Linked DNA regions of Caenorhabditis elegans. The protein of the gene in region 1 purifies or fractionates together with the protein of each later gene. This does not show direct contact. Each region holds a gene or a part of one and is shown on either strand. Other genes may lie near its edges.

Region 1 (17,430 bases):
GAGCTGCTTGTCGACATCGTCCAAGACCTTTTGCACTTGTGGTGGGACAGGCATTGGGCGCTGGAAAATTGGATGTTGAGAGGAATGACTTGGCGGCGGAGAAGAAGAAGAGACAAAAAAGCGATAAAATAAAAAGAGTTATGATGTGAACCAGTCAGGGCTGTGCATTTTTATTCTGTTTCCGGGGTCAAAAATTCGGAATTCTGAGAGAAAGTGAACAGTTTGGGCCCCAAGCTAGTCCTCTGAGCCAAAAAATTGAGAAAAAAGTGATGAATTTATCACCTTTTTCAATTTTTATCTTGCTCAGAAGCCTAGCTTAGGGACCAAACCCCAGGTAAAATATTCTCAATATATTTAATTTATAAATTTTTGAGGTGGTGGTGTAGTCGAATTTTTTAATTGCTTTATTAGACTCAAAATTGTCTGAAAACACCGAATTTCATAATGAAACTTCTTGAAAACTTCTCAAAAAAAAAGTTTTGACGGCTGAAAAAATGGTCTAAAAATTTGTTAAAATTTTAAATTTGGCCGACTTGTCAAGCGGCTGGAAACTTTTTTTTGAAATTACCGTAAAATTTTGAGTATACAATCCAATTATCTTGCGTTTTCAACTCGATTTAGGTACTTTAAAGTCGATGGACGGCGAGATTTGGTTAAAAAAATTGTGAAATCTCGCCGTCCATGGACTTTAAAATACCTAAATGAAGTTAAAAACGCAAGATAATTACATTGTATACTCAAAATTTGACGGTGATTTTGTTTCCAGCCGCTTGACAAGTTGGTCGAATTTCAAATTTTAACTAATTTTAGGCCATTTTGGAGCCGTCATAAACTTTTTTTGAGAAGTTACACTATGAAATTCGGTGTTTTCAGACAATTTTGAGTCTAATAAAGCTATTTTTAAAAAAATTAGACTACACCACCTTAAAGAGAATAAAGATGCGAATTTTTTCACCCCCGAAAAGAAAACTTATACAAAAAAGGCGAAGAGTTCTTCAAATTGAATCTCCAAAGAACACACACACACAAATCGCATCAAAATGTGCCTATAGCCAACCGGAGCCGGATCAGCAGCAGCAGCAGTAGTAGTAGTAGCCAATAGCTGTTGAGAGGAGGACAGAAAGAGCGAGTGATAACTGGCCAAGTGTTCCCGGGAGAAGACGAAAAACCCAGAGAGAGAGAGCACGGCGAAAACGGAACGGGAATGGAATCAATCGATGATAGTCAAACGGCAACACAAAGGGCACAATCCATTGTGTGTGTGTGTGTGCGTGAGTGATTTGTCATTGAAACAACTTCAGAATGACATAGTGCCACGGAGGAGACGGGAGGAGAGAGAACAAAGTACAAGTGATTCGCGCCGGAGATCAGATCAAAATAATTTGAATTGATTTGAAATGTTCACCAGAAAAATTGTGGGTCTGCATTTTTAAAAGACGGCGTAAATGGGAATTATTACAAAATAAAAAACGCGGAATCATAACAGAATTAATTTTTTATTTTTAAAATCGGGATTTTGCAATTTTGGCTAAATTCCTTTAAAAAATGAACGATCAATCAGTTGGAGTGTGGAGAATTCAGCCAAAATTGAAAAAAATCGCGTTTTTTTTATTCGGATTTTATATTATTTCGCGATTTTCTTCCGGTTTTTCCTGAATTCGAGTCAAAACATTGGATTTTCTGAAGCTTTTGAAATTATTCGACTTGAAAAAAGGTGATTTTTCCTAATTATCACTGAAAAGCGTTCAATTTTCAAAAGAGAACATCGATAATTTTCGGTTTTTCTCAGCAAAATGTGAAATCGAAGTAGAAAACTCTTGTTCAAATCCAGATCAGGTTTGGGGATTGGCGCCAATTTTTCAAAATGACCTATTGTGACATGTTGATTCATTTAAAATTGATGTGAAATTATAGAAAATCACTTGATTTATCTAAAACAAACATTTATTTCAGTCGAAACACTTGAGGAAGAGCTCAAAAATGGCCTGAAATTAGCAAATTCAGGCTATTTTTCAGCATTTTCTCGCATGTTTCAACTGAAATGGGTGTTATTTTCAGATAAATCGTCTGATTTCTATATTTTGGCGAGAAATCAAGCGAATTCACTGAATTCCGGCTGAGAATCTGCCGCGTTTTGAAAATTGATATTTCAACTCTTCGACGGCTGCAGCCACAAGAGTACGGAAAGATGAGAAAGCACATCTCGTACAGCTTTCGGATGATGATAGGCGTGTGTGTGGAACATTTTTCTGTTTTGAAAGAAGAAAATAGGTCGGCAGAAAAAGAGATAAGAAGTGGGGAAAGAGTATTCTTTTTTGCTGCTGTTGTGCCGAGTAAGAGTAACGAGAAGAATAAAGAGAGAAAAATGTGGAGAGCGTCGTCGACCGCACATAGTGGAAAGAGAAGAGGGATACACAAGTCTCTCCGTGTTTTTGTTACTCTGTTTCGTGCCTCTCTTCAAAATGAACACTATTTCGTTCAATTTGAGCCGTGGAAAAACAAAATGCTGAAAAAAAGCTTTACGATTGATTTTTTTTATGCCTGCAATAATAAAACATAACTTTTGGTACATTTGTTTGTGAATTGATTCTATTTGCGAAGTTCTTATCTATACGAAATTCACGTGAATCAGAGATGAGAAGTGGGTTTTGACCACGTAGTTATCAAAAATTATCAAAAAAAAGGTTCAAAAATTTAATATCAAAATTTGAAAATGAAAACATTGAGAAAGTGACAGGAAATTGTGGAGATCGAAAAATCTAGGAGATTCTCTCCTTGGGCTCCATGATGACGACGGAGTTTCCGCGAATGACAGTCATGCCGAGGTTGACGGATCCTCCGTCCTTTTGGTACTCGACAGCTTCCTGCAATATTAAATTTTAGAATAAATTAGACAAAAACGGAAAAAGAAACATACGTCGATGACCATGTTCATGAATGGATCGAAACCGCGGAGGATTCCAGAGACGCGACGGTTTCCGTTGAGCTTCAAGTCCATCTCCTTGTCCATGTACTTTTTGAGCTCTGGTGGATGTGTCTTACTCATTTTTCTGAAAAATTGAGAATTTGCAGGGGGAAATGAAAATGAAGAATGGAAAAATCATCAAAGAAACAGATTTTACTTAAAATAGAAAATAAAGCTCATTTTTCAACTTCCACCTATCGAAAATTCAGATAATACATTAATTATAACATTTTTTAACTAATTTTTCAAAGAATAAACATGATAATTATCAGGAAAATTGGATGAAAAAGGCTAAAATCGACGAAATTATTTTTCGAAATTCGAATAGTACGCAAACACCACGCTTGGTACACCATAAATGACGACAAGTTGCAGACGCTTGCACACCGTACTCACACAATTCTTATCGGATTTCCGAGCTTTTTCTTTTCGTTTTTCCAATTTTAGATGGTAAAAAAGAAGAGTAACTATCATATTCTCGTCGCACAAAATTTCTTATCAAATATCAGTGTTGATGGAAGCCACAATGACACAAATCTTCGAATTTTCCAAACAAAAGGCCTTCCGAAGGTGAGAATCTTGGTTTTTCAGCGATTTTCGTAACTAATTGATAATTTTTTCAGATATCTCCAACGGAAAAGAAGTTTTCAAACGGCGCAAGCTCCACAACCACCATCCGCAACAATGAATCAGTGATCTCACTCGGAACATCCGCTTCACTCGGAGAACGGCTAAGCTCGTCGAATTTGCCGCAGGAATACGCGGAGACACCACAGAAAAAGTGAAAATTAGTTGAAAATCAATATAATTAATTAATTTTCTCTATTTATAGAACTTCAATCTTCCGAAGAATCGCGAAAATCATGAGCTCCGACGACGTGATCTATTCAATGACCGCCACAAACAGTAGATCTCCGATTCTTGAAGAAGGCGTCGGGAGAGAAGATAGTGGGCTGATTGGTGAGCTGGCGAGCTTATAAAAGCTTACAAAACTTGAAATAAAATAAATTAATTCAAAATTTTCACAGAATTTCGCTCAGAATCACCATCTTGTTCTTCAAATCAGTTCAGTTTTCTGAGAAGGCTCAAAAGCACCATTACCCATGCAGATAGGTGAGTTCAACCATCATAAAATCCTCTAAAATCCCCCACACTAACCGTTCCGTGTTGCGAACTAACCCACATTTTCAGATTTTACATCTGCACCTCGACGAATGGCCAGCCTCTGGCAGTTTTCTCGTATATCTCGCCGAACAGCGACTACGTGGATCCGCTGGCGCCGATTTTCGCCAACACAACCGTCAATAAGAAGAAATTCCGATCGAAATCGATTTTTGGAAGGTTTAGAATTAACATCTCCTCTATAATTTATATCTTCTACCTAATTTTCCCCGAAAACTGGCAATTATCTAACAAAATTTCACAAAAAAAGCGCAGGAATTCAGAAATTTCGGCTATGCGATCTTAAAGGCACATGGGTTTATTCAGCTGTGCATCGACGCGAAAAGACAGCATGTGGTAGTTTTTTTTGTTAAATTTTTCAGTTTTCAGACCGAAAAAAAGGAAAACAACGCAAATTTTCAGCAGAAAGTAAGAAAAAACGCTGCAATTTGCTAAAAATCCGTGCGCCTTTAGGTCAAAATCTTGAAAAAATACGATAAATTCCCATAATTTCACCTTATAATCCAATTTTCCAGCTCGGATCGCATGCGGCATCAGGCTCACTTATCAACAGAAGAGCTGCGGCCATTTGTCTTCCGAGACGCTGAAGATCAAGTAATTCTGGGGCAGATTCGCCGAAAGCGGAATCCTTCGCCGTTTTTCACGCTGTTCGACAAGTCGCCCGCCTCGATTTCCAGGAAAGAGCGGAGGGTGAGGCTTTGAATTTTGAATTTTAAGATTCAAAATCCGCGGAAAAAAGGCGAATTTTAGCTAAAATCTTCAATTTTACCGAGTTTTTCGTGTCGTAGCAGGCGAAAATTCGTATTTTTGCAAATTTTGCTCGTTTATTTCACTTTATATCGTTGATTTTCGTACTGTTTAAAGATGGAGTAGCGCCAGTGAGGAAATTGCTTTAAAACATGCCTATGGGGCCACAATGGCCGAATATCATGATAAAAAATTTTTGAAAAATGTTCTAAATTTTACATGATTTTTTGAAAATTGAAAAAATCTCAGTTTTTGCCTAATTCCTATTCGAATTTCCGCCAATTGGATTTGTTCGATTGAGCGCGCTTGCACGTTTTTAAATTTATTTATTTTATTTTTTGTTATTTTCCACCGATTTTTAATGTTTTCGGTGTATTTTTGCTCGAATATTAGAGAAAAAGTCAAAATGATTGCAAATTTTCAATTAAAAAGCACTCTTACAGGCGTAAATCAGTGAAATCAATTAATTCAGGTTCGAAATCGTTTAAAAGCGTTACTTTTTGATTTTTACGCCTGTTTGCTTTTTAATCAAAAATTTGCATTTATTTTGACTTTTTCTCTAAAATTCCACCAAAAATACACCGAAAACATTAAAAATCGGTGGAAAATAACAAAAAATAAAATAAATTAATTTAAAAACGTGCAAGCGCGCTCCATCGAACAAATCCAAATGGCGGTAATTCAAATAGGAATTAGGGGAAAACTGAGATTTTTTCAATTTTCAAAAAATCATATAAAATTTAGAACATTTTTCTGAATTTTTTATCATGATATTCGGTCATTGTGGTACCATAGGCGTGTTTTAAAGCTATTTCCCCACTGGCGCTACTCCACCGTTAAGGTCTGTAATAATGGATTTATGAAACTTAAAAACTGGCAAAATTGAAGATTTTCACTAAAATAAACCTTTTTTTCGGAATTTTTCGTTCACTTGAGCAGATTTTGAGTCTTAAAATGTGAATTTTAGGTGAAAAGTTGATAAAAAATCGAAAATTTTTACAGGAAAGCTTCCGAAACGGCGAAACCTCGGAGGAAATGTTTGCGGAAACCATCGAAGTTCCACAAGCCGTAAATCGAGATTCAAGCTATGAACGTGGAACTTCAATCGATGAAAAATGCGATTTAGACGCCAGCCGATCAGATGAACCATCATCAGAAGTCATCGATGAGTACGATCCGATCGCATTTTCCGAGTTGGGAATCGGAAAACGGACTGTAATCCGTCACGAGTGTTGCGTGGCAAGCACACTTCATTGTGAATCGGCGGAGAGGGCGAAACAAGTGATAAATGAGGATTTCGAGGCGAAATACCCAATGATTCATCTGACATTGAGCAAAATGAAGAGTTTGAAGCGAGAAATGGCAGAACTTGGGGTCTCGAATGGAATTGATGTGTATACGGTGGCAACTGCTTATGTGTACTTTGAGAAAATTATTCTTAAGGTTAGAAAGAACGAAATTGCAACGATTAAGCTTAAAAAGTGATTAAAAAGCTCAAAAATTGCGAAAATCTGAAGAAAAAACCTGATAATGGTTAAAGGGAGGCCGCATTTGGAGGTGGATGGGTCTCGCCGCGAATCTCGTTTAGCAATTAAGCTATGCGCCTTTAAGGTTACTGTAGGCAATTTTCAAACTTTTTAAATGCATTTTCTAGTCGATTTGAATCGAAAATCTTTTTTTTCCATTGAAAATCTAAATTTTTAGAGCGACTTTTAGCCCAAAAAGCTTTAATCTTAGTTTATAATCGACATAATGCAACAAAAAATAGAAAATAGCATAAATTACGTCTAAAAAATGATTTAAAAGCTTAAACTTTGAGAAACTGTCGGAAAATTCAAGAAAAAATCTGAAAATGGTTAAAGGGAGGCCACATTTGGAGGAGGATGGGTCTCGCCGCGAATCTCGTTGAGCAATTAAGCTATGCGCCTTTAAGGTTACTGTAGACAATTTTAAGTTTTTAAAACAGTTTCTAATCGATTTAAATCGAAAATCTTTTTTTCCAGAGAAAATCTAAATTTTTAGAGCGAATTTTAGGCCAAAAAACTTTAATTTTAGTTTATTATCGACATAATGCAACGAAAAATAGAAAATAGCATAAATTACGTCTAAAAAATTATTTAAAAGCTTAAACTTTGAGAAACTGTCGGAAAATTCAAGAAAAAATCTGAAAATGGTTACAGGGAGGCCACATTTGGAGGAGGATGGGTCTCGCCGCGAAATTTGTAAAGCAATTAGGGTATGCGCCTTTAAGGTTACTGTAGGCAATTTTAAAAATTTTAAAATATTTTATAGTCGATTTTAAGCTAAAATCAGTTTATAATTATTATCAAAGCTGGTTTTTTTTTAAATTTCAATTTTTTTGAGATTTTCATATCTATTTAAATCTAAAATCAATTTTTTTCCAGGGTCTAATCTCAAAAGTCAATCGAAAATGTGTCGCCGGAGCCGCTCTCCTCGTCGCCCTTAAAATGAATGATTACAAGAAGTCTACGATCAAATCGTACATCGAACAGGCCGAAGATCAGCTCCGCGAGCCGAAATCCGATCTTTTGGCTTATGAGCTTCCAATTTGCTCGGTGCTCCAGTTCAGGCTTCAGCCAACAATTGATGAGATTCAACCACATGTAGATAGATTGCAATTTGAGATGTGAAATATTGTTATTATGTAAACGCAGAAAAATGTGCTTTTTTGAAATCGTGGTGCAAGCGCGCTCCACGGATAATAGTTGGGTCTCCTTAAAGGTGGACTACGCTCAGTGGAGAAATTGCTTTAAAACACGCCTATGGGGCCACAATGACCGAATATCATGATATAAAAATTCAAAAAAATTTTCTAGATTTTATATAATTTTTTGAAAATTGGAAAAATAACAGTTTTCACCTAATTATTTTTGAATTTCCACCAATCGGATTCGTTCGATTGAGCGCGCTTGCATTATTTTTATTAATTAATTTTATTTATTCTCGTTATTTGACTGATTTTCTTCATTTTCTATGTTTTTTCCTCGGAAAATGAAAGAAATAAAAAAGACAAACGCAAAATGTTTGTTAAAAAGTAATTGAAAATGAGTAAAACTGTGAATATACTAATTTCAGGCTTGTTGTCGTCGGAACTCAGAATATCAGAGTTTTAATCATTTTCAATTCAAAAATAATTGGTTGAAAACTGTGATTTTTTCAATTTTCAAAAAATCATAAAATCTAGAAAATTTTTTTGAATTTTTTTATCATGATATTCTGTCATTGTGGCCCCATGGGCATGTTTTAAAGCAATTTCCCCACTGAGCGTAGTCCACCTTTAAGTATTGGCGAGAAAACCGTAATTTCAAAAGTTTTCAATGATTTTTCGTTGGTTTCGAGGTGAAAATCATCGAAAATTGTTAAAAATATTTAGATTTGGCCGCCATTTCTAACGAGACCCAACTTTTAGCAGAGGAGCGCGTTTGCAACTTGGTTTTAAAATACGGATTTTTCCGCGTTTAAATAATATGCAATTAGTTTTTATGTACTCAATCCATGACCCTTTTGAGATTATTTCTAGTCGACATTTTTCAAATTTAATAAATTTGGTTTTTTTTCCCTTATTTTTTCTTCAGATTTTCGATTTTTTTGCGTTGAATGTCGCTATTGTCTATATATTTTTTTCCTTAATATTTTTCCTAAAATCTAATTTTAAAAAAAAAATTTTTTCCAGCAAAAAATGTCCCAGTTTGAGTCATTTTATCAGGATGTAAGTTTTTTTTTTCAAAAAATTTGAAAAAAGTGTACATTTCTTGGTTTTTCTGGAATGTTTCGAATTTTCAGACAGTTTTCCGCGAAAAAATATTAATTTTATGTGGAAATATCGATTTTAGGGCCAATTTTGAAGTTTTAGCGAGTTTTTTCAGCTGGCTATCAATTATAAAACTATAAAAAAAATAAAATTTCGCCAAAACTTTGAAATTGGCTTCAAAATCGCGAATTCCAAATAAAATTTTTATTTTTTAAAGAAAACTTGGCTGAAATTTTTAAAAATCCAAAGAAAAACCACAAAATATGGCCAGAAAATGCGCGGGAATTCAAAAATAATTCTCAAAAATTTTTAAATTCAAGAGAAAAATTTGAAAAAAAACCAATTTTTTTTTGAAAAAGTTGAAAAAAACCATTAAAAATTTTAAAAACATTTTTAAATTTTTCCAGCTAAAATCCACGGAGCAACAGGACGCGGCTCTTACTTCTGAGCAACAAATCGAGCGACTTTTGAAGCCCGGTTCCACATATTTGAACCTTAACCCATATGAAGTGCTCCAAATCGATTTGGACACGGATATCGAGGCGGCTAAGAAGAAATACAAGAAGCTCTCACTACTTGTGCATCCGGATAAAAATCCAGATGATCGAGAACGTGCTGACAAAGCTTTTGATATTGTGAAGAAGGCGATTAAGCAAATGGAGGATCCGATTGAGTTGAATCGATGCAAAGATTGTTATACGGAGGGAAAAGCTCGGCTTGCTATTGTGGTACGGAGCAACTATGAAGATTTGCATGGAAATTCTGAGAAAATTTTTTAAAAAATTGGATTTTTCTGGAAAAAAAAAATGCCGAAATTTGGATTTTTTTTTTCGATTTTTTAATCAAAAAAAACGAAAGAAAAATCACAAAAATTCATCCCATTTTTCTCATTATTTTGTAGTTTTTCACTGAAAATCGAAAAATCCAAAAAAATTTTTTTTTAGAAAATGAACAAAAAAAATTCTAATTTATGTTGATGTGAAAATAAAATAGAAAAAGCCAAAAATTTGCAATTTTCGCAAAATATTTTTTGAACAAATCTGAAGACAATTATTTTTTATATTTTTTTTCTTCAAAAAATGAGGAAAAAAAACTAGAAAAAAACAAAATTACTGATATAAACCAAAAGCGTATTATTTTAAAAATAATTTTCCAAAAAATTGAAAAAAAGTAAATTATCAAAAATTTACTTTTTTAACGTTTTTTTGGAAAAAAATCGTTTTTTTCTTGATTATTTTGTGAAGAAAACGTAGTTTCGCAAAAAATTTCATATAATTCGGAAATTTTTCGTTTTTTTGTAAAAATTGTTTTTTTAAAATTCACTCGAAAATCCAAGACCACGAAAAAAATTAGTTTGTATCCTAAAAATTAAAAAAAAAAATTTTTGAAGCAAATTTTAATCAAAAAATTATGTTTCTTCGAAGAAAAATTGTAATTTTATACAAAAATTATGAAAAGTGAACGAAATTCGAGGGAATATATATATATATATAAAATTTTAAAAAATACATTTTTCAATTTTTTTGTTGAAAAAAACCAAAAAAAAACCACAATCCACAGTCTCCTCGTCATCGAAAGCGCACAAAAAACTGCTTACTGGCGCGTTTCGCGTTTTTGCTAGCGCATTTTGTGGATTTTCCGAAATTCAGAAATTACGCGGAAAATAGGCTAGAATTCCAAAATTACAGCCCCGCCTCTTTTGATAATTATCTTCAGGATGAAGAAGATGATCGCGAAGGTGGGTGACTTGAAATATACAAGAAAAATATGATTTCTTTAGAGAAACACCATTTTTACCGTTGATTTTTTAATATCCCTACTCCTCCTTCAGTTTTTGACCAAATTTTCTCTTTTAATGGTCTTTCATTTCATTTTGTGCTAATAAACAAATTTTAAGTTCGAAATCTGCGAAAAAATTCGTTTCAACGCTAAAAAACGACGAAGTTTATTTTTCAACACTAAAAAGATTCACTCCCTCCCCCGGCTGCGCCAAGGTGTGAGCAAGTGCGCCCCAGCCCAATTCGACGCCGAGGAGACTGTGCAATCCTACCTCCAAGATCGTTAACAAAAATCAAAAATTGTATATTTTTTTTCTCAAAAATTCATTTAAAAAAACCGAATTTCTTCCAGATGTCGGAGAAAAAGCGAAAATTGCGAAAAGATGGAAAAGAAGATGTGATTGAAGAAGATGATCCAGCTGGATACAAGAAAGCTCTGTGGATTACTGTAACAAAAGTGTTTGCTGATCGAGAGAAGAAGAGAAAGATGCTTGAAGAGAGGGCGAATGAGGAAAAGTACGGGAAATTGATAGTAAATTGGAGAAAAACCGAATTAGGATCAATTTCTAATTAGAAATTGAAAAAAATTGAAAAAATTGAAAAAAAATGGAATAGAAAAATCGGAAATAACAAAGAAAAATTGAGATAAAATCACAAAAATCCGAGTTTTCAGAAGAAACAAAAGAAGAAAAATTCCAATTTAAAAAAATTAATTTTGTAATTTTTTTGGTTTTTTGCTTAAAATCAAGTAAAAAATGTAAAACAATTTTTTAAAAATTAAAAAAAAAGTAAATTTGGCAATTTTACTGTTTCTTTTTTAAGAAAACTTTTTTAATTTTAAGAAAAATAAAATACAATTGATTTTTCAGATATTTATTTCAAAAAACTGAATAATTTTTAATAAAAAATGCAAAAATTGAACAGATATTAAGAAAAAAATTATTTAAAAAAAATTGAATTTGCCAAAAATTTCTGAAAATTTTCAGGTTTATTTATATCAAAACCATATATTTTTTGAAGTTTTCCTGAAAATCCTTGAAGAAAATAAGATAAATTGATAAAAATCCGACTTTTTTAAAAGAAAAATACAATAATTGGTAATTCTCATTTTCCAAAGCGGAAAACCTCAAAATTTCGGGTTAAAATATCTAAAATCTAGAATTTCTTGGGAAGTTTCGAATTTTGCTCTAAAAAATGTTGTATTAAAAATTACATTTTTCTGAAAACTCATTTGAAAACAATTTTTTGCATTCAAAAATTGCCTTTAAGAAAATCACAAAAATTTTTCAGACGCCGCTCAACTGAAGCGTTAGTCCAAGCAGCAGAGAAGCGTAAACTGGCCGAAGAATTCGCGAAAAACTACGAAGAATCTCGTGACGAACGTTCCGGAAGCTGGAGAAATTTCCAGGCGAAAAAGGCGAAAAAAGAGGATAAGGGAAAGACGTTGAAGGGTGCAGCATTCAAACCTCCGAAAGTTAAACTTCAGAAATAATTATTGATCTCTTTGAATTTTTCTATTTATTCTCATTCATTATATTCCCATCATTATTGTGTAAAATCTCAACAAGTTTTTGTAAAAAATTATTTTATTCGAATTTTTTTTGTAAAAAAACCATTAAAAACCTCCAAAAAATTACGAAAACTGGAAATTTTGAAGTTTTAATTTTTGTTTAAATTTAATTTCCGGATATTTTCAATTTTTTCCAAATTTATTTGAAAATTCAAAAAAAAACGATAAACCAAATTTAAAAGTAAAAAGTAAAACGTATTCCCATCATTAATACAAGAGTGGAATTGCCGTTCGGCAAATTTTTATCGGGAAATTGCCAGTATGCCGATTTGCCGAAAACTTCAGTTCCGGCAATTGGCCGATTTGCGGGAAATATTCATTTTCGGCAATTTTTCGATTTGCCAAAAATTTAAATTCGTGCAATTTGCCGGTTTGCCGGAAATATCAATTCGGGCAAATTGCCAATTTGCCGGAAATTTTGAATTCCGGCAAATTGCCGATTTGCCGGAAAAAAATCGTTTGCCGCCCACCTCTGCATTATTGTGTAAAATCTCAACAAGTTTTTTGTGAAAAATTTTTTATTATAGTTTCCTTGAAGAAAAAAAATTTCGGAAAAAGTAGAAAAAACCCGTAAATCAAAAGTAAAGAGAGAAGAAATGATGGTTGAATGCATTAAAAACAAACAAAAAATAATATAAAGATCATCGGTTTTGTCATGGGAAATTGGGATGAAATGGGCGCGGAAAAATCTCGCTCAGACGACCTTACTGGGTCTCCATGAATTCTGAGGATTCGTCGCCATTTGCATGTATACCGGTGGTTGTGGTGGCGGAGCAGTTGGTGGCTCGAGCAATGGACGTGTTGATGGCTCGATTGGGTTCTGAAAAATTTGCGAAATTTTTAAGTGAAAATTTTGGATTTTGCGCGTCAAGTTTGGTTCATTACGGAAGCAAAAAAATTCTGAGAATGCGTATTGCACAACATATCTGACGCGCAAAATATCTCGAAGCGAAAACTACAGTAAATCTTTAAATGACAACTGTAGCGCTTAAATGGACACAAGGGCTACAGTAATCATTTAAAGAATTACTGTAGTTTTCGCTTCGAGATATTTTGCGCGTCAAATGTGTTGTGCAATACGCATTCTCAGAATTTTGTATTTCTGTAATAATTGCTGTGTTTTTTTGGTTGCTTTCAAAAAGAAAAGCTTTTTTAAAAGGAATTTCTCAATTTAAAATTTTCTTTTTTTTGCGAAAAATACTCACCTTAGATTGTTTTTTGGTACTTGTGAATTACATGCCCTCATTTTCAAATTAAATTAAATTGTCATTAATTTCTCCATATACATTTTTCATTTTTCCTCTTTAGTCTTAGAAAATGTTTTTTTTCCTAACAAGGGAACCCCGTACTTGATCCGTGGAAAGGACAAAGAAAAAGTATACCAATCGAAAGTTCATGTTACTGGCTACTCGAAAACAAAATAAAATTCTGCCAGTTTTGCCTATAAATCTGAAATTTTTGCGTCTGAAAATTGGTCTTTGCGCCTCATGATTTTCAATACTTTCTCATTGTCTTTCGTTGAGAACTATATTTTCACGTGTAAAAAAGGCTACACAAAAGTTTTACAACAGCGAACACCGATTGAATGGCCGAGTGGTTAATGCTATTTTTTATAAAACATCTTGTCTTTGAAGCTATGCAGCTCCGTTGAAAAAAATCTGACAAAAAAGTGATCAACTAAAAAGTTGTAGATTATAACTTCATCTAGAATTTTTTAGTGAAAAACTTTCACCAAAAAAATTTGGTTGTCGAGATATAGACGTTATACTTTCTAGAATATTCTAAAAAGTTGTAGCTCTTTTTCAAAAGTTTCCAGCTCGACAACCAATTTTTTTTGGTAAAAGTGTTCATCTGAAAAGTTTTAGATGAAGTCATAATCTACAACTTTTTAGTTGATCACTTTTTTGTGAGATTTTTTTCAACGGAGCTGCATAGCTTCAAAGACAAGATGTTTTATAAAAAATAGCATTAACCACTCGGCCATCCAATCGGTGTTCGCTGTTGTAAAACTTTTGTGTAGCCTTTTTTACACGTGAGAATATAGTTTTCAACGAAAGACAGTGAGAAAGTATTGAAAATCAAGAGGCGCAAAGACCAATTTTCAGACGCAAAAATTTCAGATTTATAGGCAAAACTGGCAGAATTTTATTTTGTTTTCGAGTAGCCAGTAACATGAACTTTCGATTGGTATACTTTTTCTTTGTCCTTTCCACGGATCAAGTGCGGGGTTCCCTTGTAAGCCTAGAAATACAAATTGTGGTTCACGTTTTTATTTTTCATGGCTTAAAAATTACCATTAAAATGAGGGCATGTAATACACAAGTACCGTTTTTTTTTTAAATTTTGTAAAACAATTTTAGCAATTCCTCCAAAAAAAAATGCATAAAAAACTATTTAAAAACGATTTTTTCGGGCTTAAATTCTCAATTTCAGAATTTTTTGTTGGTTTTGCGCGTCAAGTTGGTGTAATTGCGTCCGATGCGTTCTATTTTACGAGCAAAATTTAGAATTATCCGCTTTTTTTGCGAAAAATATTCAATTTATCCTGTATTCTCATTTTGTAGCAAAATAATACAAAATTCTGAGAATGTATATTACAACATATTTGACGCGCAAAATATGTCATAGCGAAAACTACAGTAATTCTTTAATTGACTACTGTAGCGCTTGTGTCGATTTACGGGATCTCAAATGAATTGTGACATTTTTTCGGTATTGTGTTTACTTTAAAAAAATTATCCATTAATAAATGATTTCCGTAAATCGACACAAGCACTACCGTAGTAAATTAAAGAATTACTGTAGTTTTCGCTTCGAGATATTTTGCGCGTCAAATGTGCTGTGCAATACGTATTCTCAGAATTTAATGTTACCGTAATAATCAGGAAATGTTTTTTTCAAACTGTATTGTAACTGTAACTGTACAAATTTTTGTTTCTCTTCCTAACAAAAAGTCAGTCAAGCAATTTTCAATAGAGCACATTTCCTTACTCACTTTAACCGGCGCCGACGAGCACATTCCACAGAAGATGAAGTTCTTCCAGGCGTGGACGGTCTTCGCCGACAACACCCACATCAGACACGAGAATCCTGTGGCGAGACTGGAAATTACGGCGGTCATGTAAATTTCAGCCTGCGGCGGTGTCGGCCGATGACATGCACCTGACTGTTGTTTACAGTCAATTGTCATTCGGGTCCATTGGGTGAGAATCATGAATTTATAGCATTGACAGACAAGTTCGATGACGTTGGGAAGGATGAATAAAGCACAGAAGAAGCCCATTTTCACCATTAGTTTCTCCAATTTCGATGTGTCTGTGCCCTGAAAATCGATAAATTTTATTGATTTTTTTACGGTGTGATCTACGAAAAATGCGGATTTTTTTTTCAGCGTTGATTTTTGAGCTCGTCTCGGATGAGTAAGTCTATTTTTGAAATTTTTTTTAATTTTTCAGATTTTTTCCAAGCTTTTTCAAGACTTTATAAAAATATTTTAGATTAGAAAAATTAGAAAAAATTACTGAAAATAGGTAATTTCTATATTTTCTAACATGGTGCATCGATGTTAGCGCACAAAAATCGTTCAAAAATGAGTGGCCTAGAAAAAGAGATAAAAAATTCGGCCATTTAATAAAACTCACCCTTGTTCTGAAACTAATTCTCTCTCTGCACATGCTCGCAAATCCTCCAACAATAAAACATGTTCCAATAACAATGCAAATAGTTCGGGGAACAATCACAAACCAGAGCAACGCAATCGAATTCAAATTCCCAACGGAGCAAAGAGCGGTGAGCTCACTCGCGTCGACTTTGTTGAAAATGAGCACAATAATCGTGGCCAGCGACGACAATCCCCAGGCAACAAAATGCACATAACTACTGCATGCTTCGATACCTTCTGGCACCCATTTCCTTCCACCGCTCAAATACCTACAATATTCCCATGGTGGGATTAACTGACATAATAAGTGGCTTACAGTGTAAATGAGAACATTAACCACCAAAGGGCAGCCGCTGTACTGAAGAAGTAGTTAAGAAGGAATGAGGCAAGACAATATGAATTGTCAAATGTTCCGATTGACAGGTATGACCGCCCGTTTCCAAGTGCGTGGCAGGATCGGATCGGAGCATCGATGAAGAGTGGCGTGAGGTATGGGAGGGAGGAGATGAAGATGCACAGGGATAGGTAGAAGACGCATCTGGAAATTTTTTGGAATTTTAGATTCTCCAGGATTTGCAGTATGCTCTAATTTGTTCAAAAAGTTAAAAGAAAAAGCTGATTAAAATTTGTTTTTTAAAATCATTTTGAGAATCAGGAGCTTCCAAGATATAAAAACAAAAAATACAGGTAATTGATTTTTCTACGTGGCCTAGAAAAAGCAAAAACTCGGCCAACGATTTTTGTCTGATTTTTCGCGTAATTTCTTTCTGAAACTTGCCTATAATGGTTTTGGAAGGAGTTTCTATCAGGAGTGGGCGGCAGTTGCCGTTCGGCAAAAAATTCTTTGCCGTTTTGCCGAATTGACGGAAATTTCCAATTCCGGCAAATTAGCCGAAAATTTCCAATTCCGGCAAATTAGCCGAAAATTTCCAATTCCGGCAAATTTGCCGGTTTGCCGATTCTCCAAAAATTTTCAACTCCGGCAATTTGCCAATTTTCCATTTGCCGGAAATTTTTAGATGGATTTTTTATAAAACCGAAATACTTAAAACTGTGCCGTTTTGAAAAAAATTTTCCCGTTTTCTATATTTTAGATATTTTCATAGAATTTGCTTACTTTTCAAAATAGATGTAGGAACATTGATAGGATGCCTTTTTTTTAAAAATTTTACCGATTAAAATTGAATTTAAAAGAAAAAAAATCTGAAACTTCAAAAAGTACAAAATCACAACTTGCCAAAAATTTTCAGCAGAACGGCAAAACTGAAATTTGCCTGTTTGCCGACTTACCGGAAATATAAATTCCGGCAATTTACCTTTTTGCTGAGGATTTGCTAGAGTCCAAATCTATTTGCTGGTGAAACATGGTGCATCGAGAGCTGTTTTTTTTTCAAAAATTCTGGTCTATATTTGACCGGCAAAGCAAAATTTTGTGAAACACCATTAGAGAATTAGTTCTGAGCCTTAAAAAATATGAAATTTTGATCTTAAAAATTGGATTTTCATTAAAATTTGTTCATTTTTCGTTAAATCTTCTAAAAGTGCATTTTCGTCAAAATGTCGCAATGCACCATGTTTAGTTTGCCAATTTTTGATTTTGTTTTTTTAAAATTACAATATATTTTACTGTAAAATAAAATATTTCGCGGTAAGACCCTATTTCCCATTTCCATTTTCAGGAAAAATATACGATTTTTGGTTCCCAATTGCAACCCTCTTTTCCCCAAGTGACTCATTTTCATCTCGTCGTCATTA
Region 2 (15,871 bases), on another chromosome or scaffold:
TTCATGAAAAAGCTACAGTAACCCAAGAGGTTTTCGTGGCGGGACCCAAATTTTCGAAATTTTAAAAATTATTTTCAGCTCAAAATCTGCATAAGCCTTCAAATTTTGGTAAAAAATAAAATTTTGATACAACAGTGCGTAAACTACAGTAACCCAACATCTCTTCGTGGCGGGACCCAATAATTTTTTTTTTGAAAATTGGTAACATTGTCAAATTTGAGATTTTTGAGATTTTTTGTATAAACTTTGAAACTTTATGAAAAACTAAAATAATAGAACTCTGTACAGTAACCCAATTGGGTTTCGTGGCGAGACCCAAATTTTTGAAATTTTTTAAACCTAAAAAACTCACCAACAGCTTCTATAAAAGTGCCAAAAACTGCGAATAATAGTATGAAGAGGCCAACATGACCCATTTTTCTGCAAAATTTAAAGTTAAATTATATGAAAAATTCAAATTTTTCCAAAAATAAAAAATAAGAATTCAACGCCGAAACCGTTGTCGGAACATATTACCCTCTGCGCTAAAGCCACCGCACACAGTGTTAATTGGTTTACGGAAAATGTCGGAAAAGTGAAAAAGGAGACGGGGGGCTAATGGGTGGTGACGACGGTAAAAGTGAAGAAATGGATATGGCGGAGACAAGTAAAAGTGTAGTAGTGGACATGTATATGTACATGTACAAGGTTAATAGAAAGTGACTAGTTTTGTTTTTCAACTCAAAAAACACATATTAGTGCTAAAAATTCCAAAAAAAATTAGCTGGGCTTCTCGTTTGTACTTGTTTGTGAAGGTTACTATAATTTTGGAGAAGCTTCTGGAAAAATTGGAAAAAGTTTTGAAAAGGTTTTGGAACATTTTGCAAATTTTTGGAAAGTTTTAGAAAATGTTCAAAAATTTGGAAAACTTCTAGAACGTTCTAGGAACTTCTGAAGAGCTTTTTGAAATTCTGGAATTTTTTGAAAATTTAAGACAATTTTTAAAACTTTACTGAAAGTTTTGGAAATGTTTTAAAATTATTGAAAAAACGGGAAAAGTACTGGAAAATTTTAGAAATTTCTGGAAAATTCCAAAAACTTTTGGACATTGCTAGAAAATTCTGGAAAATGTTCTGGAATTTCTAAATTTTCTGGAACTTTTAGAAGTTTATAAAAAGTTTCTGGAATCATTTTGGAACATTGGAAAGTGTCGAAAAAGTTCTGGAAAATATTAGTGCAACTGGAAAGTTTTTATAAAATTCTGCAAATTCTAGAAAGTTCTGGCAATTTTCTGAAACTAGTTAAAAAATTCTGAAAAATCTAGAATTTTACAAAAACGTTCTTAAAAAATTCTAGGAGAATTTAGAAAATTCGAGAAAGGTTTGGAAAATTTCTAGAAAATTGTGGAAAATTCTAGAAACTTCTGATAACTTTCTTAAACTTTTTTTTTAATTCTAAATGTTCTAGAAACTTCTGAAAAACGTTTTTGAAAATTCTAGAAAATTTTAGAAAGGTTTAGAAAGTTCGAGAAAGGTTTGGAAAATTTCTAGAAAATTGTGGAAAGTTTTATAAAATTTTTGGAAAAATCTAGAAACTTCTGGAATGCTAGAACCTTCTGGAATTTTCTGGAAAAATCTGGAAATTCTAGAAACTTCTGGAAATTTATAGAAAATTCTAGAAACTTCTGGAAATTTATAGAAAATTCTAGAAATTTCTGTCAACTTTCTGAAACTTTTTTTAAGACTCTGAAGAAACTTCTGAAAAACGTTTTTGAAAATTCTAGGAACATTTAGAAAAGTTTAGAAAGTTCGAGAAAGGTCTAGAAAATTTTCAAAAAACTCTGAGAAGTTTTAGAAAATTTCTGGAAATTAAAAAAAAATCAAATTTTTTTTTTCGGAAAAGTCTGGAAACATTGGATATCTTCTGGAAGAATTTAAAATATTTTCTAAAATAGTTCCAAATTTCTGAAACTTTCGAAAACTCAGAAAACGTTCCGGAAATCTTTAAAAGCTCAAAAATTAAACTTTCCCAAAATTACAGTAATTCTACAGTAACTCCAACAGTACTCTTACCGTACACCTACAGTACTACTACAGTACCCCGACCATATCCCCCCACTAACCCCAAACCAATATCCCTTCAAAAGACGAAAAGTACTTTTTCCGAAACTACAGTAACCCTACAGTATCCCTACAGTACCCCGACCATATCCCCCCACTAACCCCAAACCAATATCCCTTCAAAAGACGAAAAGTACTTTTTTCCGAAACTACAGTAACCCTACAGTACCCCTACAGTACCACAACAGTACCCCGACCATATCTTCCCACTAACCCCAAACCAATATCTCTTCAAAAGACGAAAAGTACTTTTTTCCGAAACTACAGTAACCCTACAGTACCCCTACAGTACCACTACAGTACCCCGACCATATCCCCCCCACTAACCCCAAACCAATATCCCTTCAAAAGACGAAAAGTACTTTTTTCCGAAACTACAGTAACCCTACAGTACTACTACAGTACCCCAACCATATCCCCCACTAACCCCAAACCAATATCCTTTCAAAAGACGAAAAGTCAATTTTTAAAACGTTTCGGAAATCTTTAAAAGCTCGAAAATTGAATTCTCCCAAAACTACAGTAATCCTACAGTATCTTCAAAAACCTAAATTACATGAAAATTCTGAATTTTCAAAAACTATTTCAGTTCAAAAAACCTATACCTTATCCTAAAAAACCAATGACAAAAATCGAAAACGGGCATGGAAAGAGAAATGAGACGGAGGAGGGAGACCTACATAAAACAATGTGTGTTACTAATTTAGGACATCTTCCCCCCTTTCGGGTATCTTTCCTTTCCATCCAGTGATGGATGCTTGGGGGAAACGATACTTATCGCCTTACCGCAACACCAAAAAAAGAAAGGACAAGATTTTTGGTCATGGTGCATCGAAAAAAGGTCTCGAAACGATTTTTGCAACAATTTTTCGGTCATTTTGGAAAATTTTAAATTAAAAAACACCTATTTTTCAAAGAAAAAAGTTGTTGAATTTGAGCTTTTTTTTTTAATTTCAAAAAATTCCGAAAAAAACCGGCCTAAAAATTTGGCACTTTTTGGCGCTTTTTGGCAATTTTTTGGCACTTTTTGGCAATTTTTTGGCAATTTTTTGGCACGTTTTGGTACTTTTTGGCAATTTTTTGTGATCGGATTTTGGCGCGAAATTTGAATTTTTGACCATTTTTGTGTTGAAATTTGAATTCCGCGCTGGCAGTTCGTCGGTTTATCGATTTGGCGGAAATTTTAAATTCCGGCAATTTGCCAGTTTGCCCATTTTCCGAAATTTTAGTTATTTTCAATTCCGGCAATTTGCCGATTTGCCGGTAATTTTCAATTCCGACAATTTTCCTATTTGCCTGAAATTATCAATTCCAGCAATTTGGCGGTTCGCCCGTAATTTTCAAGCCCGGCAATTTTCCGATTTGCCCAAAATTTTTAATTCCGGCAATTTGCCAATTTGCCGGAAATTTTCAATTCCGGCAATTTGGCGATTTGCCGATTTGCCGGAAATTTTCAATTCCGGCAATTTTACGATTTGCCGGAAATTTTAAAATCCGGCAAGTTGCCAATTTGCCCGAAATTTTCAATTCCGGCAATTTGGCGATTTGCCGGAAATTTTAAAATCCGGCAAGTTGCCAGTTTGCCCGAAATTATCAATTCCAGCAATTTTCCTATTTGCCTGAAATTATCAATTCCAGCAATTTTCCTATTTGCCTGAAATTATCAATTCCAGCAATTTGGCGGTTCGCCCGTAATTTTCAAGCCCGGCAATTTTCCGATTTGCCCAAAATTTTTAATTCCGGCAATTTGCCAATTTGCCGGAAATTTTCAATTCCGGCAATTTGGCGATTTGCCGATTTGCCGGAAATTTTCAATTCCGGCAATTTTACGATTTGCCGGAAATTTTAAAATCCGGCAAGTTGCCAATTTGCCCGAAATTTTCAATTCCGGCAATTTGGCGATTTGCCGGAAATTTTAAAATCCGGCAAGTTGCCAGTTTGCCCGAAATTTTCAATTCCGGCAATTTGGCGATTTGCCGATTTACATTTTTTTTTGATAACTTTATTCTGATACTAAAAAAAAATTGAGAGAAAAAGAGAAAGAGTTGAAAAAAAAATGACAATTTTTTTTTACCGATGCTAATTGTGTAAAAAGTCGGAAAAAACAACTACTACTACCGAAGAAAACGAAAATGTCTAAGCTTGGAAATAAGCTAATCCGGACTGGAACAGGCCCCACCCCACCTTTTTTTTTTGATCTACCCATTTTCCCACACAATCTCCGGCGCTCAAGTGATTGAATCTTCAAACTTTCAATTTCTTATCAGCGCCGGGGATAATCGGGGGCGCCGTACAGTTTTCTCCTGGGCGAGGAGGAAAAAAGTGAAAAGCATCGGGGGAATCGAGAACTGATAAAGGAATTCTCATCCGCCGTGAGTGTGTATGTGATCAGTAGCCGCCGGGACGGGTGGGTAAAAAACTGCATAACGAGTCACGAATTGATGATTGGGGGAAAGGATTTGTGACCCGCCAATTTTCGAGGAATTTTCATGTGATGTGGGGAGGGTGAAGCTGTGTTTGTGGAAAAAGGGGGTATATCACTTTTTTTGACGAAAAACATTAGTTTTTAAAAAATTCCAACAGAAAAAATTCGGTATTTTCTGAAAATTACACCAAATTTGTGAAAAAAAATGCCAGTTTTGCGAACATGGTGGCATCTTGATGCATAGTTTGGGAAAATTGCCTTTTCGTCTTTTGAAGGGATATTGGTTTGAGGTTAGTGGAGGGATTTGGCCGGGGTACTGTAGGGGTACTGTAGGAATGCTGTAGTTTGGGAAAAATTGACTTTTGAAGGAATATTGGTTTGGGGTTAGTCGGGGGATATGGTCGGGGTACTGTAGTAGTACTGTAGGGGTACTGTAGGAGTACTGTAGGGGTACTGTAGTAGTGCTGTAGTAGTACTGTAGGGGTTCTGTAGGAGTACTGTAGTTTTGGAAAAATTGACTTTTGAAGGGATATTGGTTTGGGGTTAGTTGGGGGATATGGTCGGGGTACTGTAGTAGTACTGTAGGGGTTCTGTGTTTTCGTTAAAATTAAAAATTAGGTGCAAGTTTTGACCCTTGATGCACCATGGCCGCGCCAAATCCCGGCGGTGGCCTAGTTTTTGCAGCTCGGCCACCGTGGCGGTGCAACAAATGGTGAAACATGTGCTATTACAAAATTTGAATTTCCAGTGAAAAATTTGAACGGAAATATGCCGGAAAACTTCATTTTTAGCTAAAAATCTATCAAATTCGGCGGCAACTTCAAATTTTTGAGATACATTTTTTTGGCGCGAAATTCGAATTTTCAAACCTTTTCCAAACTTTGGCAAATATATTATATTTTAAACGAAAAAAAGTGGAACGGTATTACGTATCCGCTAGCTAGCCGGCGGCGGCTAATATGTACACACGGCGGGCGAATGGAAAAACTAGTGAAATAATAATAGAATAATAAGAAAAACGCACGAGTAAAAGGCGCGCACCGATTAGAAATTAGCCTCCCATCTTCACTTTTCGGCTAGTTTTCACCTCTTCAGGCGCTGCTGGAGACAGTCTGATCGATGCACCATGATCAGAAAGCCGAGTTTTCCTGGAAAGAAACTGGAAAATTGTCAATCACAACAGGCATTTTTGGCGCGAATTTAAATATTTCACGGCTAAAAAGCGCGTTAAAATGTTTATTTTTTGGAATTTTTTCAAAAGTGTTAAAATTCAAGGATTAATTTTTCCAAAACTACAGTAATCCTACCGTACCCCTACAGTACCCCGACCATATCCCTCCACTAACCCCAAACCAATGTCCCTTCAAAAGACGAAAAGACAATTTTTCCAAAACTACAGTAATCCTACCGTACCCCTACAGTACCCCGACCATATCCCTCCACTAACCCCAAACCAATATCCCTTCAAAAGACGAAAAGACAATTTTTCCAAAACTAAAGTAATCTTACCGTATTCCTACAGTACTCCTAGCGTACCCCTACAGTACTACTATTGATTTTTTTTTCTGATTTTTAACTCGCAAAAAATTTTCCTTTGGTCCACCCCCGCGGTGGCCGAACTGCAAAAACTAGGCCACCGCCGGGTTTTGGCGCGGTCATGGTGCATTGAAGCTCAAAATTTGCACCTACGCTCAAATTTTAACAGTTTTCAAAATTCAAAAATTATTTTTCCTTAAACATTGATGTTTTTTTTTTCAAAATTTTCCAAAATTTTCGGAAATTTGAAAAAAAAAACCTTTCGAGACCTTTCTTCAATGCACCTAAACTACAGTAATCCTACAGTACTCCTACAGCACCCCGACCATATCCCCCCCACTAACCCTGAACCAATATCCGTTCAAAAGTCGAAAAAGTCAATTTTTCTCAAACCACAGTTATCCTACCTTTTCCAAAACTACAGTACCCCTACAGAACCCCTACAGTACTACTACAGCACTACTACAGTACCCCTACAGTACTCCTACAGTACCCCTACAGTACTACTACAGTACCCCGACCATATCCCTCGACTAACCCCAAACCAATATCCCTCAAATGACAAAAAGTCAGTTTTTTCAAAAACTACAGTAATCCTACATTACCCCGACCTTATCCCCCCACTAACCCCAAACCAATATCCCTTGAAAAGTCAATTTTTCCCAAACTACAGTACCACTACAGTACTACTACAGTACCCCGACCATATCCCCTCGAAAGACGAAAACACTTTTTTCCAAAACTACAGTATTCCTACAGTACCCCTACAGTACCCCGGCCATATCCCCCCACTAACCTCAAACCAATATCCCTTCAAAAGACGAAAAGTCAATTTTCCCAAACTACAGTAATCCTACAGTACCCCTACAGTACCCCGACCATATCCCCTCAAATGACAAAAAGTCAAGTTATCCCTAACTACAGTACTACTACAGTACCTCTACAGCACTACTACAGTACCCCTACAGTACTCCTACAGTACTACTACAGTACCCCTACAGTACGCCGACCATATCCCCCCACTAACCCTAAACCAATGTCCGTTCAAAAGACAAAAAAGCCAACTTTTCCCAAACTACAGTAATCCTACCGTACTCCTACAGTACCCGACCATATCCCCCGACACCTGAAACGATCCACCATGTCCGAAAAAAAGTGTTTTTTGGCATTTTTTCACAATTTCCGGGAAAAAATCGAGTTTTTATTATATCAAGAACACAAAAAAAGTACAGTAAAATCGGATATACAAGAGAGCTCAAAAAAGTGAATCCATAGCTCCACGGGTGGCTTTAAAAATGAACTGAGAGCTTCTCGACGAGACGATCGTTCCTCGCTTCTCTCCGCCGCCGCCGCTGCTGCTCGCCGAGCCATCCTGGCTTGATCCTGTCGCCGAAACCTTCTTCAGGCCCTTCAGACCTTTCGCGTTGGCTTTTGTGTTGAATTTTTGCCAACTTTTCTTCTCGCCATCCTTTATCGAGTCGAGCTCCTTCTGTTTTTGCTGTTTTTTGAGCGCTTTTTGACGTCGGCGCTCCTTTTCTGCTTGCCATTCCTGGAAATTTGAAAAAATTTGATTTTTTTTTTGAATTTTTCAGCAATTTCCAGCAATTTTCATGCTAAAATTCAAATTCTCCGCTTAATTTTACCCCAAATGGACCTTTGTCAGGGCCTATAGCTCAAAATTTGAATTTCGAGGGTTACGGTAGCGCCAAAGTACGCAAACACCGCCTAGGCACCGAATTTTACGAAAATTTGCATAAATTGGCTGAAAAACGGGCTACGGGGGTAAAAAGTGATGGAAAAGTCGATATTTGGGCTGAATATCTGTGAAAATTACGAGTTTTTCGGTAAAATTAAAAATTTGGGCATAGCTTCCGCATCTCCGAGTGACAAATGTGCTTTATTGTCAAATTGTTGGCAGAAATACGGTATTTACCTACATTTTCAGCCAATTTAAGACTGAAAATGTAAATAAAAACAGTTTTTATGCCATCAATCCGAGTAGAAGCACATGAGTCACGGAAATATCGATTTTTGGGATTTTCTAGAGATTTAAACTAGAAATTTTGCGATTTTCAGTTTAAAATCGTTTTTATCGTCTATATTTGACATAAAAATCCAAAAAAAATCGATGAAAATGGCTTAAAACCATCATTTTCAGATTGGTGGCCTAGAAATCCCAAAAGTTAGGCCACCAATCTATTTTGTGCAAAAAACCGATTTCCAGGGGTAAAAATGAGTGAGAAACTCGATTTCCAACTGAAAATTTGAGAAAAATCACTTTAAATGTGAAAAATCAAGATTTCTGCATTTTGCCGTAAGACTTGTGGTGTTTGCGTACTTTTGGAGCTACAGTACCCCGGAAAGTCCAAAAAATCGATGAAAATTTCACGAAAAAAGCCGTTTTATCCGGAAAAACGTCAATTTCTAGAAATTCCTGCAGAAAATAGTCGATAAAAGCTGAAAAAGTGTCAATTTTTGGTGATTTTTGCGATTTTTAGCTCAAAAATATTGCAAAAACGGGGTTTTTCTGGTTTTTTACAGAAGAACAAGGAATTTTTTCCATTTTTTCCAACCTTTTTGCCGTGTTGAGTCGATGGTCCGGCCGCCGACTTTGTGTTATCAAATGCATAATTTTTTCGCTGATTTTCGGGCGGGAGTTGGAGATCAGCGGGATCTACGATGGTTTTCGTGCCGGTAGCTGAAAAAATACGAATTTTTGGTGAAAATTCACGATTTTTGGGCTAAAAATCGATAAAATCCCCCTACATGTGAAGGTAATAGCCACTCCGGCGGGCGTAAGTGAGTCGATTCTGGCGAAAACCTTTTTTCCGTCGGGATGTGGGGCGATAACTCGTTCGCCGACCTGAAAAATCGATTTTTAGCTGAAAAATTGGCGAAAATCGGGGTTTTTTCGCTGAAAATCCGTACCGTCCACTTGTGAATCACTTGCGGAGCCACCACAGCCCTCTCTGATGATTCTGCCTTGTCGGTTTCCGCCAAATCTTCCTGAAAATTGGAAAAAAATCAGTTTTTATTGATTTTTTTTCGAAAATTTTGCATTTTCTCCGCTTTTTTTCACACTACCTGCAGCGAAATAATCTCCCCGAGGTCTTCCTTCAACTTGAGAAGCTCCACATTCGTCGGATCGCCGAGCAAAGCCGCCTCGACCTGCTGGAGCTGAAGTTTGTAAGAGGCGAGCTCTTCCTCCATTTTTCCGCTATTTTTTCACTGAAAATGCTGGAAATTGGCAAGAAAATCGAGAAAAACGATGAAATTTGACTGAAAAATGGCAAAAAATCAAGAAAAATCAAGAAAAACCGGCGAAAATCCGGCGAAAATCGATGAAATAAAATGTATTTTCAAAAAGACGAGAAACGCGTCAGCAAAATCGAGTATTGCGCCAGCAACCCCACTCTTGCGCATTTCTCGTTTTCGGCGGGTATTTGAATGTGAAAACATCGTTTTTCGAACAAAAAGTCTAAATTCTTTATTAAAAACCAATAAAAACCCAACATGTCCCAATAAAAATCAATAAAAACCAAAAAATGATCAAAAATCCTTATTAAAAAGCAAGTTTTCATCGATATCCAGCATTTTTACAGCGTTTTTCCACAGCAAATCCTCCCTGTCCTTGGCAGAAAATGGCTTATACTCTTCCACAACTCTTCCAACTTCAAGCTCGCCAAGCGGAAATGGGTAGTCGGTGCCAAGCACTATATGCTCCTGAAAAATTGAGAAAAAATGATGAAAATTGACGGATTTCTCGCGAATGTCAAGTTTTTTTCGAAAATTGTCGCTTCGAGACCACAAATTTCTTGATTTCAAGTTAAAATTTGAATTGAGCAAGTCAAGAGCTTCAAAATAAGCCCCATATCAACTAGTTTTCGTCAAGTTTGACAGATTTCGCAATATTTCTTGGGTCTCGCCACGAAAACTTGCCTCAGCTTCTGCAAATTCGTGGCAGGACCCAAAAAATTTGAATTTTTGAATTCAGCACATTAACACCTTTCATTTGACACCCATCTTGCCTAGGTTTTCGAAATTTTGTGAATTTTGGGTGTCGCCACGCGGGGTACTGTAGCACCAGTTTCAGCTGTGTCGAAACAGGAAAATTCAAAATGAACGTAGCATAGTCATGATGGGCGTCATTTGAAAGCTGACGACGCGGGGAATTCGAATTTTCTATCTAGAACTCTCTAAAATCAAAATTGCACACCTTTCCAACGGTATTTATCAGCAGTTCGAGAGCTTTTGGGTCATGAACCAAGCTATCCGTCCACAGTAGCCCATCGAGCTTATTCGGAGCAACTTTACACTTTCCAGCACACAAGTCTGGCCTAACATTCCATCCGTGAGAAACTCGGCCACGAATCTGTGGGTAGGCGCCGCCCCCATGTGCAAAGCAGAGCTTCAACTTGGGGAAGAGCACCAAAATGTTGCCCATGAGCACTGAGCAAATGGCTTGAGCAGTTTCAGATGGCATTCCGACGAGCCATGGCATCCAGTATTTGTCCAGCCGCCCGTCCCACATGTGCATATCCCAAGGATGCACAAAGAGCACCACCGAGAGCTCCTCGCAAATCTGAAAACTAGATTTTTGATTTTTTTTGATTTGAAAATATTTTAGCTGGATTCGTCTCGCCGAGAGCTTTCAAATGACACCCATCATGACTATAATCAGGCGATTTTGAATTTTCTAGCTTCGACACAGCTGAAACTAGAGCTACAGTACCCCGCGTGGCGAGACCCAGAAAATTAAAATTCGACGTAACCTAGGCATGGTGGTACTTAAATTAAAGCTCTCGATGAGCTGAATTCATTTATCTAAGTTTTGAGGGTCTCGCCACGAAATTCACAAAATTACTGTAGCTTTGAATTTTTGAGAAATTCGAAAATTTTCGAAAATCTATAACTCCGTCAGTTTTTAAGATTTTTGAATGAATTTTGTTTTACAATGTAGGAAAATTATATTTCTGTATCTTAAAAATGTTATGCTCCAGCTGGCTACTGTAGGTACAGTACTCCTGGGGTTTTTCGTGGCGAGACCCCGATTTTCGAAAAATTCACGGAACCCAGGCATGATGGTACTTAAATTGAAGCTCTCAGTGAGCTGATTTCATACAACATATTTTTGTGGGTCTCGCAACGGAATTCGCTATGCCACTGTAGTTTCAATTTAAAAAAAATTAATTCGAAAATTTTCGAAAATCGATAACTTTGCCAATTTTAGAGATTTCCAAACAAATTTTGTTTTACAATGTAGGAAAATTATATTTCTGTATCTTAAAAATGTTATACTCCAGTTGGCTACTGTAGGTACAGTACCCCGGGGTTTTTCGTGGTGAGACCCCGATTTTCGAAAAATTCACGGAACCCAGGCATGATGGTACTTAGCGAGCTGACTCGGCGAGCTGAATTCAGAAAACATAGTTTTGTGGGTTTCGCCACAAAATTCACAGAATTACTGTAGCTTTGAAATTTTTTGAGATAAAAATAATTCGAAAATTTTCGAAAATCGATAACTTTGTGAGTTTTAGAGATTTCCAAACAAATTTTGTAGGAAGTCATACAGAATCTGTGTTTTAACACTGTAAAAATGTCAAATCTAGGTCAGCTTCTGCAGGTACAGTAACCGGATTGATTTCGTGGCGAGACCCAAAAATTTCAAAAATCTATAGAACCTAGGCATGATGGTACTCAAATTGAAGCTCTCGGTGAGCTGAATTCAAACAAGATAGATTTGTGGGTCTCGCCACGATATGCACAGAAAGAAAGAAAAATACTGTAGTTTTGAAAAAAAAATTATTCGCAATTTTTCGAAATTCAATAACTCTGTCAGTTTTAGCGGCTTGGATCTCAATTTAGTCATAAAATTTAGAAAAATTTCAGTGCATCATAAAAAATCATAAAAAATGTGAAAACTTAATTTTATATTGTAGGTACAGTACCCCTGGAGTTTTCGTTGTGAGACCCCAATTTTCGAAAAATTCACAGAACCCAGGCATGATGGTACTTAATTTGAAGCTCTCGGTGAGCTGAATTCAATTTTTTTATTTAAAATTCAAAAATCTCAAAATTGAGAAAAACAATTTCCACAATTTCCCATTTTTCCCCCTCTAAATTTCTAATTTTCCAAACTATATCCCCGGGTAAAAAAGCTCAGCGGCGGGTATATAAAATGTGCGTCAAACGATGAATAAATGATAGGCTCCGCCCCTTCTTGCCCTACAAACCGCGCATTTTTCCCGGAGGCGGCGACGCAGAATTTTTGATTTTCGTACTTTTTTTTTGCTGTCGACTAACCTTATAAAGCGGCCAAAAATCACGATGATCCAACGATTTTTCTGCCACGTGGGAACCAACTTCAAATCCTTTTATACCCATTGAGACGCATCTTTTGACTTCCTGAAAAATTGGAATTTTTTGAAAAAAAAATTTTTTTTAGGTCTTGCCACGAAGAATTATACTTTTTGGTAGATTTTCAACGAATAAAACTTTTTGATAATTTTAATTTTTAGCTCATTATTTTAGGCTTATTTTAAGCTAAAATTTAGCTAAAAATCTTTAAAATTTGCCAAGTTATGAGGTTTTGAACATTTGAAAAAAAAAATTTTTTGCGATATTTTAGTCCCGCCACGAAAAGTCCTGGGGAACTACAGTTCCGATTTTTTCAGTTTGTATTTAATTTTTCAATAAATTGACAAAATATTTTTCCATATTTCAAGCAAAAAATCACCTAAAAATCTTGAAAACTAAGAAAGTTACAAAGATTTGAATTTTTTTTTTGAAATTTGGAAAAAAAAATTTTTTTTGAAGTTTGGAGTCCCGCCACGAAAACCTGGGGTACTGTAGTTTTCAATTTTTGTGTTTTTTAAAAATTATTTTAGGCCAAGCATAAGCTCAAAATTTAAGCCTTATTGAGAGTTTTAAAATTTAAAAAAATTTGAAAAAAACATTTAACAAAAAAATTTTTTATTGTTGGTTTAGTATCGTATTACAAAGTTAATTCAGAACTTTTCTATAAAATAATTTTTTTTTGAAAAACTTATAAATTGAAAATTTACAAAGTATCAGTTTTCAGTAATTGAACTATCAAAATTCTGAAAATATTTTTTTTTCATAATTTTTTTCCGAAAACCTAAAAATTTCAAAATTTTGTAACTTTGTTAGTTTTTAAGATTTTCAGATGATTTTTTGCTTCACATATGCAAAAACACCGTGTTAATTTGATAAAATGTAAGTAAAACTAAAAAACCTGCAATTACAGTACCTCAGGACTTTTCTTGGCGGGACTCCAAATTTCAAAAAAAAAAATTCTTTTTCCAAAAATCTGAAAACTTTAAAATTTTGTAACTTTGTTGGTTTTTAAGATTTTTTGGTGATTTTTTTTTTGAAATATGCAAAAATATCCTGTTAACTTGATTTAAAAAACATAAAAACTGAAAATTCAAAAACTACAGTACCCCAGGACTTTTCGTAGCGGGACTCCAAATTTCCAAAAAAAAAAAGTTCTTTCCAAAAACTTCAAAATTGTGTAACTTTGTTTGTTTTGAAGATTTTTTGGTGATTCTTTTTTTGTAATACGCAAAAATATCTTGTCATTTTGACTTTTCGTGGCGGGACCCCAATTTTCCCGAACAACATTTTTTTACAATTTTCCCGCAATTTCTTCCAAGTTCAATCTAAAGGCCGTTCAAATTCAATTGAAGTTTAGGTGCTCCTGGCTCTTGGCCTACACTTCAAACAAATAAAATGTGCTCTTTTTTGTGCTCTCCGCCTAGAAAACTTCCTGCTCACGCCCCTCCCCCTTTTGGCCGGGGAGCCGGGAGCACAACCAATCATTATAAGATTCATGTGCTCTTTTTCTTAATCTTTTCATTTTTTTATTTTCTTTTTTTATTTTTCATCATAAAATTCCCAAAGTTGCCATAGAAACCGTGGGAAAAAGGGAAAAAAAATTTCGAAAATTTTTTTGGAATTTTTTTTTCCACTTTCTGTGAAATTATTCACACCAGGATTTTCCCCCTGAATTTTTGAATTTTTTGGTGAAAAGTTTAATAGAGCACGTTTGCATTGCTAATTGAAAGTGACGTTTTTTTGTAGAAAAATTCAAAAAAATTTAAATAAAAATTTTGGAACTTTTATTTGTTGAAAAGTTCTGGATTTATTACTGGTTCAATATGAAAATGAATGTAAAAATATGTTTAAAAAAAAATGAATTTTGCCTAAAATTTTATTTTGGAACACTTTTTCCCAAGAAATTACCAAAATTTGAAAATTTTGGCAAAAAAAATTTTTTCGAAAAATTTTTTTTTTTGAAAATTTGAAAATTTCATAATTTCTTTCAAAACCAAGTTTTTTCGGTGAATTTTAGCTTAAAATATAGGTGAAAATTTCGGTTTTCCAGAAAAAAAACTATTATAAAACATGGCGACATAAAAGCTACCCCAAGACCAAGACTTTACCAGCTGAAAATTCCAATTTTCAGATTTTTTTTTTCAAGAAATCAATTTTTTTTCAGAAATTGAGTTTTTGTTAAAATTTTTAGCTTGAAATGTTGGTTAAGTATCCGGTTTTTTGAGAATGAGTTGAAAAATTGAAAAAAAAAAATTGTACTACAGTACGCCAAGCTTTTTCGTGGTGGGACCCAGTAGCACAGTGTAAACCTTTTTTGAAAAGTGCCGTGGCCGAGGAAACCGAGCTTCTAGGCCACCAACCTGAATTGTAAGTCATGGTGCATTGGATCCCCTAAATAAAAAAAAACGTCGTGGCCGAGAAAACACCGGGTTTCTAGGTCACCAATTTCAATTTTAGGGCATGGTGCATCGACACCCTCACCCAATCTCAATTCTGATAAGCACCGTGGCCGAGGAAAACCCAGGGTTTCTAGGCCACCAATTTGAAAAATAGTTGGCTATGGTGCATCGACCCTATCTCTTGGTGATTGCCATGGCCGAGGTAACCAGTATTCTAGGCCACCAATTCCAAAGGCCACCAGCCTGAATAGTATGTTATAGTGCATCGACTCCCATTATCCGGTAAAAAAACAAAAAACCCGTGGCCGAGGAAACCCGGGTTTCTAGGCCACCAGTTTGAATAGTAGTTCATGGTGCATCGACGACATCTTCCCTTGAAAATCACCGTGGCCGAGGAAAACCCAGAATTTCTAGGCCATCCCTCCCATCTCATCTGCCAGAGCAGCTGCTCATCCGCCCCGCCGCGTCGTTTTTCTTCGTTTTAACGAAAAAAGTATTGGTGGAAAAGGAAGAAGCCGAGGCAAGGCGAGCGGGAGGGGGGGAGGAGGACACACTACGACGACTACTAAGAAAAATACGAAGAAAAAGAAGAAGAAGACTTCTTCTTCTTCGTTTTCTTTTTCGAAATAGTTAGACGAAGAAGATGTTAAATTGAGAGGAGGAGACGTACGAAGACGTCTCCCCCCCTCCCCTTGGCCGGAGTCAAACGGACGCGGAGCCCTATGTTAGGGGGGGGGAGGGGGAGGAGGAGCCCGAAATTTTTTGCTTTTCCTTTTGCTTTTTCCTTATTCTCCCCCTCCACCACCATTTTTTCACCCATCTATCTATCGCTTCCCGTTACTATATTACAAAAGTTTGGCCCTAAAAAATAATTAAAAATTTCGGATTTTTTTTTCAGAATTTTTTTTTCGTTGCCTAAATATTTTTTGCTACATATTTTAGGGCTTAAATTTAGGATTTTGGTTCAAAAAAAAATTCCGATTTTTTTTGGACTAAAATTTTTGAGCCCAAAAAAACTTTTTAGGGCTTAAATTGGAAATTTTGGTTGAAAAATA

The links.
Region 2: the proteins of dnj-30 (region 1) and smr-1 fractionate together in Caenorhabditis elegans (co-fractionation; one large-scale study listed by BioGRID). This does not show direct contact.

Annotation. Positions count from the first base shown.
Region 1 is NC_003279.8:2,712,634-2,730,063, reverse strand, and holds dnj-30 (J domain-containing protein), read left to right. Parts: upstream 1-8,588; 5' UTR 8,589-8,594; coding exon 8,595-8,624; intron 8,625-9,073; coding exon 9,074-9,394; intron 9,395-10,796; coding exon 10,797-10,960; intron 10,961-11,734; coding exon 11,735-11,936; 3' UTR 11,937-12,037; downstream 12,038-17,430. Other genes in the region: yop-1 (Receptor expression-enhancing protein), read right to left, coding at 1-54; snr-7 (putative small nuclear ribonucleoprotein G), read right to left, coding at 2,760-2,864, 2,918-3,046; Y71F9B.6 (Cyclin N-terminal domain-containing protein), read left to right, coding at 3,413-3,535, 3,589-3,746, 3,798-3,925, 3,994-4,078, 4,157-4,306, 4,663-4,837, 5,897-6,337, 7,300-7,545; lin-17 (Frizzled-4), read right to left, coding at 12,709-12,834, 15,010-15,336, 15,656-15,944, 15,992-16,213.
Region 2 is NC_003281.10:1,136,589-1,152,459, reverse strand, and holds smr-1 (Tudor domain-containing protein), read right to left. Parts: upstream 9,289-15,871; 5' UTR 9,271-9,288; coding exon 9,145-9,270; intron 9,067-9,144; coding exon 8,989-9,066; intron 8,924-8,988; coding exon 8,827-8,923; intron 8,759-8,826; coding exon 8,634-8,758; intron 8,281-8,633; exon of another isoform or gene 8,192-8,280; intron 7,610-8,191; coding exon 7,316-7,609; 3' UTR 7,249-7,315; downstream 1-7,248. Other genes in the region: cdh-12 (Cadherin domain-containing protein), read right to left, coding at 353-416; acsd-1 (2-amino-3-carboxymuconate-6-semialdehyde decarboxylase), read right to left, coding at 9,610-9,783, 10,277-10,642, 12,009-12,095, 12,364-12,465, 13,331-13,390.